2 linked regions of the Caenorhabditis elegans genome follow. The protein of the gene in region 1 interacts with the protein of each later gene in a pairwise test. Each region holds a gene or a part of one and is shown in the gene's direction. Other genes may lie near its edges.

Region 1 (8,555 bases):
ACACACCTAACCGATAACGTCCGAGCACTGCTCCAACCGGACAATTGCTCTGTTATCCTATCCAGGCAGCTAGATTGCGTCATAAAATGGTTGACGATAGGATGCTCACTCTTCCTCTCCTGCATAGCTTTTCCTCCCAATTACGCCTCTCTGAGTCTCTGGAGCTGCCGCCATATGTACCGGGGGACTACGGTAGATATTCCATGCGAGAAGGCAAAAGAAGGCCACTTTTTGCTACTAGTCAGCGTAATATGGAGAGCCGGGGATAGATAAATTTCTGAATTGAAAAATCATAAAAGTGGTGAGATGGTTGGTCAGCCGGCTTCATCTTCTCCATATTTTTCATTTTCATTGCTTTGAGCCAATAGAATCAAAAGTGGAGATGAAGTAGGCAGAATGGGAGGGAATTGAGAGTTTTCAGCGTTCAGGATTCATATTACATACTCAACCTGGCCGCAAGGTGCTTAGCTTAGCGCGCAATCAAAGTAATGAGCAAACAATTGACTTTTGTTTTATTAGTGGGCATTTCCAAATTTGGCGCGGTTTCTGTTCCCTCATGCTTCCTTTCGTTTTGAAGTTTCGTATTCTAGAATCCCAATTTTTCTCACAGCACATTTATGATATTTGATAGTTTCCCAGTTTTCTCAGGTACACTGAATTTCGGATCAGTGTCATCCAAAACCCTGGGTGAGTGTGGTTGGTGGGTGAGAAGAAGAAGAAGGCTATTACCAATTCTGAAAATTCACACGTCTCAAATAGAAGCCAAAACAAATTTCTTGACAAATATCTACGCCCGTGTGTGTGCGCGTCCCAAAACGCGATTCCGAATCCAATCACCTCTCGTCATGCATACCGATTGCAGACGGGAAGCCGCTTGGGAATATACGTGTGTGGGGGGGGGGGGGGGGGAGGGGGATGCCAAAATCGGCACCTACTGCATTTTCGACTTATTAAGGAGCATTTTCAACCGGAGGAAATATTCGTGTACACTTGATCATTAGAAATACAAAATGAGCATTTATAAAACCAACAAACAGTGGACCACAAACATTGAATGTATGGGCTAGCTCTATATGGATTTAGTTTTAAAAATGTTAACATTTTTGTAAAACATCCAAAACTTGACCTAAGATAGCTCCCCAAATGCTCATAAACCTAACTATTTCTTAGACTTTTTTCCATTTTTCACGGACTTCTTCTTTTCTAATTAACCCAACACGAAAAACAATTCCATAAATCAAAAGACCGTATGCATTCAATTCAACACCCATATCGCTATTTTGGCTGGGTGTTGTTCGACACGTCGTTTCCATCACACAGTGAGCCCACCCAACTCAAATTCATGCATTAGGATGACACTCAATTTATTTCAATCTTCTCGCTCTTCCCCCCCCCCCCCTCTTCCTCCATCCCTGGAACCCCCCGCCATCACTGTGGGAAGTCGTTTAAAAATGCATAGCACCGGAGGAGCGATGGAAGGTTGAGTGTGGAGAAAAGAGCTCGGAAATGGGTATACCATTTTGAAGCCAACCCAAAAGATTGAAATGCGATTCGAGAAATTGAAATTCCAATGGATTGTCTTCCCACATGTTGAAGAGTGCGCAAGCTCGCATAGTGCACATGAATACTAATTACGGTACGGGGAATGAATACGAATTAGCAGCAGACACTAGATTTTTGACAGGCACTGCCAAATCCAACTCCAGAAAGTGAATTTATTTACAACTGATCTTGTTAGAATTCTGCAAGTTTTGCAGAAGTTTCTGAGATATTTAAACTACTGTGAAAATACTGTAAAATTTTCACATTGTACGACCTGCTTCAAGTTATCAACTTCTATTATTTCCAACTAAAAGCTCTCTATTTCTTGAAGCTCGAGTTCCTTGTACTAAGAAATCGTGGGATTTTTAGCTCTATGAATTTTCGATGAAACAGTTTTTCGACGTTTCCTCTTTTTTGCAGATTTCCTACTTTCGCATTCTGGCAGTGAGATTCTTGCGCTTCACGCTCTTAAAAATTCCATTAATGTCCCTTACATGCCCTTTGCTGGACAAGAAGAGCAAAGTGTTGCTCACACTCACCAGCGCGCCTCCGATTATGTCACTTTGAGTTCATGCTTGAACTACATCGTAAATCGTATGAGATTATTAAAACAAGCATAATAGATTGAGCATAAAACCTGACCTCAAGGATTCTTTCTGCTCTTTTTCCAACGCTTCTCTTCCCCTTTTTTCGACTCGTCTACAAATATGCTAACCGAGAGCTCGCCGCACACTTTGCCTGCTGGGGCGGGGCGATCCAATAACATGCATCTGAGGGGAAAAATAGGAGGCAGGGCAACATGGTCGAAATGAAGAGGAGGAGGACGGATCAGTGCTGAGATGCATTCAGATTCTTCCACAGTTGGGTTTTTGAATGTAGACCAGCTCGAGTTTCAAATCGTCACAGCTCGGACATCCAAAGCCATCCCCCCATTTACCCTCTGCTTATAGGGATGTGATGCAGTTTGATGTTCATATTTATTATTTATATGCTTATTTTCACACTACGCCGAGCACAAATGACAATGGCTTTGAAAAAAAAAAGAAAGATTCAACTCGTTTTCACTTCCTGCTAACTTTCCAGTTTCAAATCTTTAATCCATTCCAAAGTTCCTAATTGGCCTTGATTTCGTCTTTTTCTAAATCCTCAGAAATCCCTATGGACCCTTGATTTGACGTCTTCATCTTCTTGTTTTCCCATCCGCTGTTCTTGTCTCATTTAATCCAATTCTCTAGAAATCACAAAGATTTTCGTTTCTTTTTTTTCAGTGGCTCAGCGAACAGGGTGCCAAATTCGAATTTCAAGATTTCAAAAATTTTTATTCAAGGCACGCGTTTCCAGAGATTCGTCCTCGTCCTACTCCCTTATTCATTTTTTGTGTGTTGAGACGAAGATGAGCACTGAGCACGTGTCAAATGTCTATTCTGTTGAATCGTTACTCTCGAACGTGGAAAAGTCTAGTGTTTCACCAACAGGTTTGTGCATAAATCTATTTTAATTCAAAAATAACGACATTTTCAGAATCAATTGAAGATAGAAATGAGTTCATGATCACAGAAGATGTGATGAGTTCTTGGCAGAGAATGGCCGCTACCATATCACTACAACAAAAGCTCCTCATGATGCAGCAAAGTATGCTAGAACCTCCGAGTTTCCAACTATCAAGTTTCATTTCAGCAATGCCCCGTCCTCCTCCTGTAAATATTCTTGGAAATTTTCCATTCGGATTTCTCAACGCTCCCATGTTCTGGCAGCAATACCTGAGGAGTATGGCAATGGGTATCATCCCTCAGAACCCTGAATCACCATCAGGTATCAAGCTTTTTGAACATTTATCTATTCACATTAATATGTATTTTAAGCTTCAGTTTGGAATCGAACACCGACACCTCCAGTGGAAATCAAACCGTTTCATTGCCAAAAATGCACAAAATTATTTTCTACCATAGCTGCTCTAGAGGTGAAACCAGTATTTTTAAAATAATTTTCAAAAATTTAAAACTTTTCAGCAACACCAACAAGTACACGTCAGCGATAAGCAATTTGAGTGCAAGCAGTGTGGAAAAACCTTCAAAAGGTATGCACTTTAATTATCATGAAAACATAATTTAAAAAAAAGTAAATTTCAATTTCAGATCTTCCACCTTATCTACACACCTTCTGATTCACTCCGACACAAGGCCGTATCCATGTGAATACTGTGGAAAAAGATTTCATCAGAAGTCGGACATGAAAAAACACACATATATTCATACAGGTATGTTGGTAAAATTGATAGGATATCCTAGATTTATCGATAAAGATAATATTTATAACAGCAAATAATAACGCAATTCTGCTCATAAAGTTAGGTTAAAATTAATTATTCCCAATGAAATACAAAATTTAATAATTACAAACACGCTGAACGTATGTATTTTGCACCCAAACCACTAAATTGCCTATATTGTACATTGTGCTCAAAAACACAAAATCCTCTATGACATGGTCTCGCATTAGGATGTTGAAATTATAAAACTAGCTGTGATGCAGGAGACACTACGGCGTAAAATCGATATAAATTTTGCTTGCAATATGATACATGAGTACTTCAAAAACGTGGGATTTTCTGACAAACCTATTTTTTATATGTATATGTTCGTTTAAGCTTTTGAATAAATATTCAATGTAGCCAGTTTTTAGAAAATAATAAAAAAGGTTTTATGACTTTTCTTTTAATTTTTTTTGAGTTACCATTTTTCCCTACTAGTTTGGCATCACTTATTTCTTTATGTGACAGTTTATCTTAAAAAATATTGATAAGTGTTTCCAGCAAGGTTTCATGCTTTTTATAGAAGATTCAAAGCCCTAGTTCATAAGTTCAATTAACTCAAATTTTGTCTTTGAAGCGAACCACCATATCTTTTTCAATTACAATTTCAACTCGTTTTAAGCAATCATCGTTTATTTTCGCTTAACACGATTCATTGAAAATTCAACTCTGAAAGAAGAGAAATCGTTATTCTGGTTTATTATGAATCGAAAAGTTGTCAGATGCGTGTGCACATGAGCCTCCTCTTCTTTTCTGCGCGCCCTGCTCATCTCTAAGTATGATTGATGAATCAGTATGAAAGAGTCGAGTCATGTCAGTGCCCCTCCTCCCTACCGTTCCGCAACACAAATCAAAATTGAATATTAAATCGCGTTTTTGCTATCCCCCTCCCCCCCATCCTCAACTAACAGACTCCCCGAGAGGCAGTAAACCACAGCGAGGAGCATCGCTGAGCTCAACACAGCTTGAACATTGCAAAATTGCTTCAAATTAAAATTCTGAGGGGAGATGTCAAAGGTTGGAAGTAGGGGGGGGGGGGTAGGGGTAGGGTATTGGATAAGCGCGGAGAGAAAAGATTCTTTGAATGACGTTTGAAAATTAAAAACAAATTAAATCTTGTATGCTGACAAGCAAAGCAATCTACAGAAGTTGACAAGAAAAAGAAGCAATGAAAACTTTGGGATTCCATCTCTAGACGGGGTTTTGCTGTGCAACAGAATAATAACAAAATTTGTATTTTTTTAAGGTTCAATTTGAGACAATTGCTATAAATTAAACGTTGCCTTTGAAAATAAAACATATATTTTTCATGGACGCATTGAAAGTTTGTAGTGAAAAGTAATTCACTTATTTTATAAAATACAAATTCCCCCTAAAACAGGGTTTCAAAAAAAAATTATATTTTGACTGCTGAGTTCTAAATATAGTTTGAAAATTTATTACACAAAATTAAAAAAAAAAGACAAAGGTTGTCCGTTTGGTTCAAGGGTGAGCCGAAGCCTCCTGCGGCCCAGAGATTTATCAGGGTTACTGGTTGCGTTTATATCTCTTCTAGTCTGAATTAAGGCCGTACCGGGACTAGCAGTATGCTCCGATTTACCTTTCGTGAACCAAATTCACTACCCACTTTCCACGCCGGCTGGGTGAGCTTTTGGGGTGTGGTGGGATTGAACTTGCGACCTCTTGGGCGACAGTGCTACACCACTACCACTTAGCCACCCGTGCCCAAAATTTATTACACAAAATAAAATGTCTAATCTAAAACTTCCCATACTTTATTTTCAGGTGAAAAACCACACAAGTGTACTGTATGTGGAAAAGCGTTCAGTCAGTCTTCTAACCTTATCACCCACACACGAAAACACACTGGATTTAAGGTAACAGTTCTCCTTTCCTTATTCTTTAAAAATGAGGTCATTATCTTCAGCCATTTGCCTGTGATGTATGTGGTCGGACGTTCCAACGCAAAGTGGACCGCCGTCGGCACCGCGAGAGTCACCATCCGGGCCACCCCGAAGAATGCGGTTCGTTTTTCACTCAAATTTCAGCCAATCAAGGACACCATTTTCTCGTTGGTTGTTCCTTTTGAAATGCTACAGTACCCCCCTCCCCCCCTTTTTCCATCAAACCAACCGTAACAATTGCAGTGTCTGCTTCTCAAATTTCATCGGATCTCTCCCCGAAAGGATACATGACACCTCCGACGAGCAACGGGTATCTCGACTCTTCCGATGAATTTCTCAACGTGTTTAGGCATGTTCACAAACAAAATTGTGCAATCAAATAAAACTGTGCTTTTTTTAGATTACCCGCCGAGCTGCTCGCGATCAAAGCAGAGATGGGCGAGGAAATGGAGGAAGCTGATGATGAAGAGGAGAAAGTACTGAATTTGAGCGTGTCATAATTTGTGTGAAATTCTTGTATTCAAAGGTAATAAGGACAATGAGAATTGTGCTGGTTACCTTTGGTTTTTTGTATTTAGTAAAAAATTCCTTTCTATCTACTGACATTTTTCCTTACCTCAATTTCATTAACACAGTTCACAAACTCGATGATTGATCTCTTATCCTTAAACAAGCCTCAACATCAATTGTCATCCTTTTTTCAAAACACATACATTATGTACTGATTATTGTTTATATCGCTAATGGTCAGACGTTTTATACATATCTGTTCTTTTTCAGTTCCTTTTCCATAATTTTATGGTATTGCGATGTTACACGCACATATGATGTATTTGCTTTTTTGCTTTATTCAAATTTCCCTTTTTTCAATTAACAGTTGTTTTTTTCTGTCATTTTTGAAATGCTTTCGGTGAGTAGCCTAGCCTTATTAATAAACAATGTTTAATATTGAAACTCGTTTATCAAATTTTATTAACACGCACTCAAGTCAGACCCGATAACTTTAAAATTGCAAGTAAACACGGTTTTTAAAAAATTCAGTACATTTGTAGAGCAAAATTTTTCAATTAAAAAAAATTAATATAGCAAGTAGAAAAAATTTGAATGCAGCTTTATGGTACTTTCAGTTCAAAAGTTTGGCAGTTTACCAAAACTTTGGAACTTATATAATTAGTTTTTAAATATTTGGTAATTTTGGACTATTATGGGTCTGACGAGATTTGTCTGGTTCATCATGCTCTTTCATGCTAGGAGATAATTTTTCGGTTGATGTGTGAAACAGTCACAAAATTTTTGCACCCATTTTTTTTTCAAAAATCATTGAAATTTGTAAGCTATCGGCTTTAAATGTACCTTATTTGGAGATATTGAACAATATAAACTACCAGAATATGCAAAAAGTCAACATCGGACTGATGCGACACAGAAAAGTGGGAAAAATTTCGAGATTCCAGCTAAAATCAGTGCAATTTTGTCGAAATTTTGAACCGCCATAAAAATTTTTCGAAATTTTTTTTTGAGAAGCTTAATCACGAATATCGTTCATTTAAGCTTGTTTTGGGTCTATACATTTCAAATCGTCCGAACTGTTAGTCCTTCTTTAACTGAGAAACAACGCAAAATTAATGCCAAAAAATTTGTTCAATGAAGAATGACTGATTAAATGTCAATTAATAGCCGCTGTAAAAAAATGGTAAAAATTCGAAAAAAGTTCGTTAAGAAGCTGCAACTGAATTTTAAAATAAATTCAAAGACGTATCACATTGGCCACACATTCCCAACTTTCAGGGTACCTCTTGGTACATTTTTTTCAAATTTTCAAATAATATTTTATTTGAGTTGGTTTTTGGGTTCCTGTTTCATTCTGCTACTCATTGATGTACTGATGTACTGATGTTCTCCGAAACTCGTAGCAACAATTTCAAAAATTCTCATTCCCAATAAAGCCACAATGCGGTTACGAAGCCTCGGAAAGCCATGGTTGAAAAAGAAGATTAAAAGGACAGGAAAAGAAAAAGCCAGCGAAATTAGGTCATTTCGTGTGACTTACAAATAGCATAACCTAATCACAAAGCACCTACCAAAAGCCACCGGAATATGGGTGTTGAGGGATTTTCCAACTGATGCAGTGCAAGTAATTAGTTTGGAAATGAGCAAAACCCGCCGAGAAGAAAGACCGAAAGATGCTACGAGGAGTTGTCTTTCGGGGTTTGTGAAATGAGACACAACTTCTTTGCTGGAAGGAATTTGAGAAATAATTTTGTATATTAACTTAAGTCATGTTTGCAGTGATGTTGAGAATTTTATTAATGGTATTTATAAATTACAAAACCTTTTTAAATTGTATATTTGGTAGTAAGTTCACAAATGTTACCAAATTTGAATAACTATTGTAAAAATGCACTTTGATTTAAAAAAACCACTGATAAACTATAATAAACTATAAAACTGTGCAAAGATGGCAGTAATTAAATTGAAAATGATTTGCGGTTTTTGCTGCAAAACTGTTAGTTGTCTTGGAAATTACTATAGCAGGCCGAAGTCAGAGATAAATTCAGGCCAAACATTTGCAAGAAACATCAAGAGTCTGTAACATTGCTTTTGGAGCAATTCTTCAAGCTTCATAAGTAGTGAACAAGAATAAAAAATGAAACGATTATCTAGAAATCTAATGTCAAAATATCACCCTTTCATTATGAATGTTTGAAAAAATCTCCAGATGTGTTTTACATCAGTCATGTACCTAACAAAATAAATGAATATTCAAAAGTTTGAATACGGTTTCAACAGAGATTATT
Region 2 (8,019 bases), on another chromosome or scaffold:
TCTACTCAAAATTCCCGATTTTTAGCTAAAAATCTGCAAAATCCGTACAAATAATTGGCGCCAGTACATTTGCCAAATTGAGCAAAGCATCCGGCAGCTCAAATGGTGAAACTGCATTGGATTTCGATGAGCTCACAACTCCAAATTCGAATGGGCTCACGTCGGGATTCTGAAATTTATGGAATTTTAGGCTTTTTTACGTGGAAAAATTGCAAAAACCTGCACAAAAACTCGTTTCAAATCACTTTTTCCCTCGATTTTCTCATTTTCGAATCGGATTTCCAGGGTGGAAGGATCCACGTGTCGTTCTCGATTTATATCGTAAATCTGAAAGAAAAAAAAAATATTTTTTCGAAGTTTTTTAGAGTTTTCAGCGAATTTTCAAGCTTTTAAATGAAATAATTACGAGATTTCGTGCATTTTTTCCAGATTTTCACTGAAAAAACTGCAAATTTCGTCAATTTTCAGTATTTTTTCTGAAAAAAAACTAGATGCCAGTGAATTTTCAGCTTTTTTACAATAAAATTGCCATTTTTAACAGGTTTCGGTCAAAATTTTGTGGTTTTTAGTAATTTTTTGGAGTTTTCAACTGAAAATTGCAATTTAAAAAATGTATTTTTCGGATTTTCAGCCAACTTCTAAGATTTTTACTGAAAAATATCAATTTTCTGGGAAATCGCTGAGTTTTCAGCTTTTTTAACCACAAAATTTGAATTTTTCACTAGTTTTCAGTCGAAAATTTGTGTTTTAAACAGAAAGTTCAAGTTTAAAAATTTATTTTTCGGATTTTCAGTCAACTTCCAAGATTTTTACCGAAAGATACAGAATTTAATCCATTTTTTAAGTTTTTTCAGCGCAAAATTGCAATTTTGCTCTGATTCTTGCTGCAAAATCGGATTTTTTATCGATTTTTCTTCATTTTTTTCTGGTTTTTTTGTGTTTTCCAGGACCACACATAAAAATGCAGTTTAAAATCGATTTTCTCGAATTTCTAGTGAATTTTTCGCAATTTCCAGGCAAAAAACTACGAACATTGATGAAATTGAGAATTGTATCGATTAATCCCGGCTTATTCCACGCCAGACGCTTCGAACTGCCCAGATAATTGATAAAACAGGGGAAGAGATCGGCATGATTCCGGCAAAGGCTCGGATATCGATCGAGAAGCACCGAAAGTGTGCTCAGTGCGAGGTGGCGGACTCTGAAAATTCAAAATTTCCCATTTTTCAGAAAAAATCCACTCACTCTGTGACGATATTCGTTAGAGCGCGGAGCACGTGGGACAGGAAAAGTGTGATATGAGCCGACATTGCTTGAATTGAAGCTGTACACAGAATTTTGTAGAGATTCAGTAGATTCTGACGTGTGGAGGGCTCGAAAGAAGCGTCAGCCACGTGCACAGCCACGCAGGGAACCAAAAGCCTCAACTGGACGTTGACAAGATCCGGGCGAGACGTTAAAATCTGTTTTAGTCCTTGAATAGCGTTCATTTTCACTTTCTGAACGAGAATTTATTAATTTTGATCGATATTCAGCGAAAAATTACCGCATTAAAGTGCCCCATCTGCTTGCAGAGCTCATCGAGCGTTAGACCACGGAAACTAAGTGGATTATCATCTGTTTCCACTTTTTCCTCCAACTGAGTCGCCAATACTACTCGTTTTGCTGAAAAAATGAATTAAAATTCGCGAAAATCGGGTGAAAACTCACCTTTGATAGTCGTGTCGGTGGTCGTCGTTTTTTTCAGCTTTTTTCCCACCTTCAGCTTGACTTTTTTGAAATCTTCGTTTTTCCGTGCCTTCTTTTTGGTCACCATCTGCAAAAAATGTTAATTTTCGCGTGTTTCTTGAGAGAATAACAAGAAAAATGCGAAAATGGCAAAGGAAAAAAAAAGAGAGGAGAGACCACGCCTCGGTGAAGTGCAAGTTTCATAGATATTGATTCGAGAGAAAATTATTCCCATAAATAGAAACATCACGCCCAATTTTTAATATTTTCTTTTATTCAGAGTTAAAATAAATTGAAAACCAAATTGTTAAAATTTTTCCCACTATGCTCAAATCAGATCCTTACAATAATTTATAATTATCCTGCGTTCCCGTTTCTGCACACTCATTTATCTCATAATACAGCAACGTCTCCAAAGCAAAAGCGCTCTACTGCGCATAGGAAAAAGGCGCGAATCGAGTGATTTGAATAATTTCGCGGTGTTTTACCGCATTTTATCTTCTTTTTTCTCATTTTTAAACGACGTTTTACTCTTATAAATATTTTTCACGTATTATAGTTTCATATATCTTTCACACATTCGTCCTCCTAAAAAATTTAGTGATTCTGAAGGCTCGTAATTTATATGGCATGAATGTTCTGAAATATTCCTAATTTTTTGAACTTTCAGATTTTTATTTTTGAACATAAAATGGCTCACACTTTTGCGTGCCCACGTGGAGATTGTGGACTTTTTTCGCTTTCCAAACTGTAAGTCAAACATTGTATTGCATAATCACCGGTTTTTGTTTCAGGGACGATCATCTCACTGCGGATCATCATCTGGAACACATGTGTTCAGAGTGCGAAGAGAGCTTTGGCTCTGCAGAAGAGGCCAAAGAGCATACTCTTTTAGCTCACGAAAATGCTCAAACATTCGATGATCCAAAAATTAGAAATACTAGGTATTGTTGTTATCTCAGAGCTAAAATAAATATAATATTTCAGAATTGTAGATTCCATAATTGCAGCAGTGAGAGTATCCGGTGATGTGATTGAAGAATTCAATTCAGTGATCATGCGAGCGGTTATTCGTCATTGGGGAAACACGAGCACGGAAAAGCTGGTAAGGAGCAGATGATAATTTTATTTTATCTGAGAATGCGTTTTGCGCAAAATATCTTGTATCGAAAACTACAGTAACTTTTTCAAAGACTACTGTATCACTAGCGGCGACTTACGGAAATCATTCGATAAAAATTAAAAGAAATCACAAAAATGACAACAACTTGAATTTCGCTGTCACAATTTGATCAGAAAATTACAAATAGCAAGCCAATACATCGACGCCAGTTCTACAGTAGGCAGTTCAGGTTTTTTATACAGTTAAGTATTATATTAAAAGTAAAATATTAAAACTGTCACCTTAAATTTGAATCCAGCCAAGCCCGCGAAAAACTCCGCTCGATTTCGGATGCCGAAAATTGGCTCGAATCGAGAGATATTCGGGAGATGCTGGAATCAAATAAGACCTACTTTCTTTTAGATTTCCGCCGATCACCACAAAAATGAAAAGAGTGGGTAATATATCGCGGCCGACAACCCACGGGTTCCGCGCCTCGCTATAAATTAAGTAAATTAAGCCACGCCCTTCAAAAGCACACCAACTGATAGGGTGTGGCTTAATTGACTTAATTTAGAGCGAGGCGCGGAACCCGTGGGTTGTCGGCCGCCATGTATTACCCACTCTTTTCATTTTTGTGGTGATCGGCGGAAATCTAAAAGAAAGTAGGTCTTATTTGATTCCAGCATCTCCCGAATATCTCTCGATTCGAGCCAATTTTTGGCATCCGAAATCGAGAGGGAATTTTTCACGGGCTTGGCTAAATTCAAATTTGATGTGACAGTTTTAAAATTTTGATACTCTTTTTAACGAAAAATTATTCGATTTCAGATTGCTGTCGTTGATTCTCCAATGATTACTCGTGACTTCTATATCGACTGTTTTGAAGCTTTAAAGATGGTAGACTATTCATTTGTATTTAAACAATGAAATAAAATTCGAAATTTGCAGAGATACGATTCTGGAGAGAAGTCCATCGATCTTCTCTGTCGTTTGGCAAAATTGTGTACAAAAATTGGAAATTTTGTTGAGAAGGAAAAGAGAAAGGACATCATAATCAAAGGAAAGATGTACGCTACCGAAGCCTGGAACACCGATTCGTACAACATCTTGGCTGCTCATTGGGCCGCTGTGATGTCAGGAAAGGCAATCGAATATCTTGAAGGCGATGAAAAGAATCTGGAGATGAGACACTGCAGACAATATCTCGATCGTGCCATCTCTATCCAGGCAGGAAAAAATGCAATGTACAATAATATTCTTGGCCGTTGGGCTCTTTCAGCACTGGAGATTTGGGAGTCTGACCGACAACAGTTAATTCATCATTATGCCACCCCATATGACGCTATCGACGATGCCATTTATCAGTTCAGATCCGCTTTCGATCTCATACCGTATTGGATCGATAATATTGTACACCTGGGCAAAGCGCTTCTTTACAATGAAAACAAAGAAGCCGCCATTGGAATGTTTCAGCTCGCACTCAAAATGGACCCGTCGAACGATATCGAGAAAGAGTTGCTCGCCGACGCCCTTGACTTGTGCTCAATTTGATCCTTCTTTTATTTCCATTTTATTTTCTGTGTCTCATTTTTCCGTTTGCACTTTCCTCCGTTTTTTTATTGTAAAAATTCCGTAAAAATCGGCCCAAAATTCCCATTTTCAGGGGATTCTTGGAGCCCAACTTCTTTTTTTAAAAATTTGGATTTTTAAATTTTTCCCCGATTTTCTATAGGAAATTCCAAAACATTTACTGAAAAATAGAAAAAAAAATGGCCAGATTTCTCGAAAAAATTAAAATTTTTGGAATTTTTCTGATTTTTAGCTAATTTTTTGAAAAAACTGGCTCAAAAATTTTTTTTTGGTATTTTTTAAAGAATTTTTATTTTTAGAAAATCCGTGAAAATTGAGGGAAATTGAGCCAGAAATTTGGTATTTTGGAGCCCAAAATCTGTTAATTTTTATTTTTAAATTTCCACGAATTTTAAGCTAATTTTCTGAAGAAGTTGGCTCAAAATTTCGGTTTTTTGGAATTTATTTTTTTCCTGAATTCCTAGAATTTATAGTGTAGTTGATCCGGAAATTCTATTTTTCTCAAATAATTGAAAATTTTTACTTTCAGAAAATCCCTGAAAATTGAGTGAAATTGAGCTCAAAATTCATATTCTTCTCAAAAAATTGATTTTTCTGTTGAAACTTCCTTGAGAAAATTTCTAGAAGAAGCTGGCTCAAAATTTCGAATTTTTGGAAAGTTTTTGGAATTTTCATAATCAAGTTTTTTTCGAAAAAATTGAAATTCCGCCGAGTTTAAGCTAATTTTTAGAATTTTTCTCAGTTAACGGTTCTTTTCTAGTGAAAAATTCCAAAATTTAGAAATTTAAAAATCCCTTTTCCCCTTATAAATTGCCCCAAACATTTCCGCTTCAACCAATTTTTCAACATTTTTATTCTATATTTAACGGCTATACAAAAAAATCGATAATTTCTCAGGTTTTCACCTCTATTTCCTATCTTGTTCACACGCCTCGGTCCCAAAATTTAATAGATTTTCAGGCCAAAAAAACCAATGGGGTTTTTACAAATTCTTCAAGAATGTCGAGCCGAAGGACTATGGCCAATTGGGCCATCTTGTAATAAGGTGCTGTGAAAAATTTGGAAAAAAATTATTATACATTCGTCGAAAAATTTCATCTCAGTTTAAAGGCGCACACATTTTTTGTACTTTGGGTCTCACCACGATTTCGACTTTTTGAAGCTTAAAATCACTAAAAATTACGTGGATCGTGGCAGGACAAAAAAGTGTTATTATACATTCGCCAAAAAATGCCAGCTGATGAAAGGTGCATGTTTTTTGCAAAAATTGCAAAAAATTACCAATCGAAAAAAAAAACTCATATTTTTCCGATGGGTCTCGCCACGATCTGCGTCTTTTGGATCCTAAAAGAACCCAAAATTATGTGAATCGTGGCGGGACCCAGAAGTGTATGCGCCTTTAAAATAGGAGAGTATATTTTTGAGAATGTGTAATAATTTATTTTTTTGCTTTGAAGAAACTTTTTATCATTTTATGATAATAATAATTTTATTATACATACGTCGAAAAAATGTCATGGCAATTACCTTTAGGTCTCGCCACGATCTACGTCTTTTGGATCCTAGAAGCGTCCAAAATCACGCAATTCGTGACGAGACCCAACAGTGTATGCGTCTTTAAAATAAGCTTGCATAATTGTGGGAATGTATAATAATTTATTATTGTATTTTTTCAATTATTTATTACAAAAAAATGTATCAAAAAATTTTATACAAATCAACAAAAAAAACAAAAACAATTTTTTTCGTGTACTCCACACGGACAACAAACTGTAGTTTTACAACTAAAACGCGCCGTAAATCTACACAAAATCTCTCCGACCCAAAATGGCCTAATTCGGCAAACTCTGCCATTTCGATTCATGAGGGAAGCCAGAATTCCGTGTTTTAACCGAAAATTCCAGAGTCTATCAAAAAATTCCAATTTCACCTTTCTACCGTAGTCCAGCGCGGGAATTCAAAATTCTCACGTTCCACCGGTCTCCCTTATCAATATATATATCATCCTCACGGGGTTCTGGCTCGACCCCCCTCTCGAAAATTTTGGAAAATGGCGGGAAAAAATATTTGATCTCGCAAGAGGAATTTTCACGCAGCGCGTTGAAAAAGTGTATGCATTTGCGCGTGACGGTGTTTGCACAAAATACACCGAGGGGTCGAGCCAGAACCCCGTGCATCCTCCCAATCACTTTCACTGGTTACTTTTTCATTTTACCTTTTTTTTTACGAATTTCCGTTCGCGAAACCAAAAAAAAAATTCCAAAAAAAAGACCGGTGGCTATAATTACAGTACTGCTATTTTCGCATCGCCAAGGGGGTTAGATCAGGGGTGCGCGGCAATTGCCGTACGGCAATCGAATTGTCGGCAATTTCGGCAATTGCCGAAATTGCCGATTGCCGAAAATTTTGAAAACCGGCAATTGTCGAAATTGCCGATTGCCGGAAATTTTCGATTGCCGCGCACCCCTGGGTTAGATGTTCTTCTCTCCTATGTGTGTATATGTGCTATCAGTCGAGTACTGAAAATTGTGCATGATTTTTCAAAAAAAAAAAACCACCCAAGTCTTGACTCCTTTTTTTTCGCTGTTTTTTTCTGGAAAACTCAAAATATTTGTTCTCTATTTTTCAATAATTTTGAAAAATAAACCTTTAAATTGGCTCTCGCCACGATTTTAGCGGGTCTTTTTTTTCAAATTTTCAAATTATATATTTTTTTATTTAACAATTCCAATTTTTACCGATTTTCATTGAAAATTGGCACGGGTTTCTAATTTCCCCCCTGTTTTCAAATGGAAGAGGTGGCCGTGAAAAAAGCGAACCTCGACCGGGGGTCGCGACCGGGAAAACTCAACGAAATTTCGCATTTTCGTTGCTTTTTTCGGTTTCAAAACACGTTTTCGTTTGATTTTGTATTAAATAAAATGCAAAATCGATTGAAAACGTGTTTTGAAACCGAAGAAAGCAACGAAAATGCGAAATTTCGTTAAGTTTTTCCGGTCGCGACCCCCGGTCGAGGTTCGCTTTTTTCACGGCCACCTCTTCCATTTGAAAACAGGGGGAAATTAGAAACCCGTGAATTGGCGAATTCTCATTTAAAAAGTTTAAAAATTGCTTGAGACTTACAGTAGTTTTAAAGGAGCATGCACAAATTCTTGCGATGGGTCTTGCCACGAACTCTATTCTTCGAATTTTAAACTCAAATTTAAAGATTTTCTTCTCATTTTTTGCCTAATATTCATCAAATCTATTGATTTTTCTTGCAGAGAATGTGCCAGGAGGCTCGCCACGTCAGCTTCTAAATAATCAACACTATTTGGAGCATCAAGAGCCCCCGCGTCAAGCAATTTTCAACGCAACTCTCCAAATTCAACAGGAAATCAAAAACAACGAAAACGGCGGCATGATGGCCCCCAGTACTGAGGTTAATTCGGAGAAATTTGAATTAGAAGGCTAATTTTTACGATTTTTACCATAAAAATCCGTTAAAAACCATAATTTTTCCAGGATCCCGATACGGTTGTCGAGGCTCAACGTCGTGGAAGCTTCTCGAAGAAAAAGAACGCAAATGGGTGGAATAAGGTCGAACTTGTCGATCA

The links.
Region 2: the proteins of pag-3 (region 1) and sup-35 interact in a two-hybrid assay, tested with the Caenorhabditis elegans proteins (one large-scale study listed by BioGRID).

Annotation. Positions count from the first base shown.
Region 1 is NC_003284.9:14,948,902-14,957,456, reverse strand, and holds pag-3 (Zinc finger protein GFI1 homolog pag-3), read left to right. Parts: upstream 1-2,808; 5' UTR 2,809-2,935; coding exon 2,936-3,017; intron 3,018-3,063; coding exon 3,064-3,174; intron 3,175-3,219; coding exon 3,220-3,354; intron 3,355-3,404; coding exon 3,405-3,502; intron 3,503-3,551; coding exon 3,552-3,619; intron 3,620-3,677; coding exon 3,678-3,799; intron 3,800-5,396; exon of another isoform or gene 5,397-5,546; intron 5,547-5,638; coding exon 5,639-5,730; intron 5,731-5,780; coding exon 5,781-5,877; intron 5,878-6,000; coding exon 6,001-6,106; intron 6,107-6,157; coding exon 6,158-6,257; 3' UTR 6,258-6,705; downstream 6,706-8,555. UniProt on the Caenorhabditis elegans protein: Transcription factor. Plays a role in the determination of neuroblast cell fate and neuronal differentiation.
Region 2 is NC_003281.10:11,113,600-11,121,618, reverse strand, and holds sup-35 (Regulator of microtubule dynamics protein 1), read left to right. Parts: upstream 1-2,392; 5' UTR 2,393-2,419; coding exon 2,420-2,478; intron 2,479-2,522; coding exon 2,523-2,672; intron 2,673-2,715; coding exon 2,716-2,833; intron 2,834-3,134; exon of another isoform or gene 3,135-3,258; intron 3,259-3,661; coding exon 3,662-3,730; intron 3,731-3,781; coding exon 3,782-4,384; 3' UTR 4,385-5,396; coding exon of another isoform or gene 5,397-5,468; 3' UTR 5,469-5,865; downstream 5,866-8,019. Other genes in the region: Y48A6C.4 (Pre-rRNA-processing protein Ipi1 N-terminal domain-containing protein), read right to left, coding at 49-169, 220-327, 1,033-1,201, 1,246-1,499, 1,547-1,665, 1,711-1,816.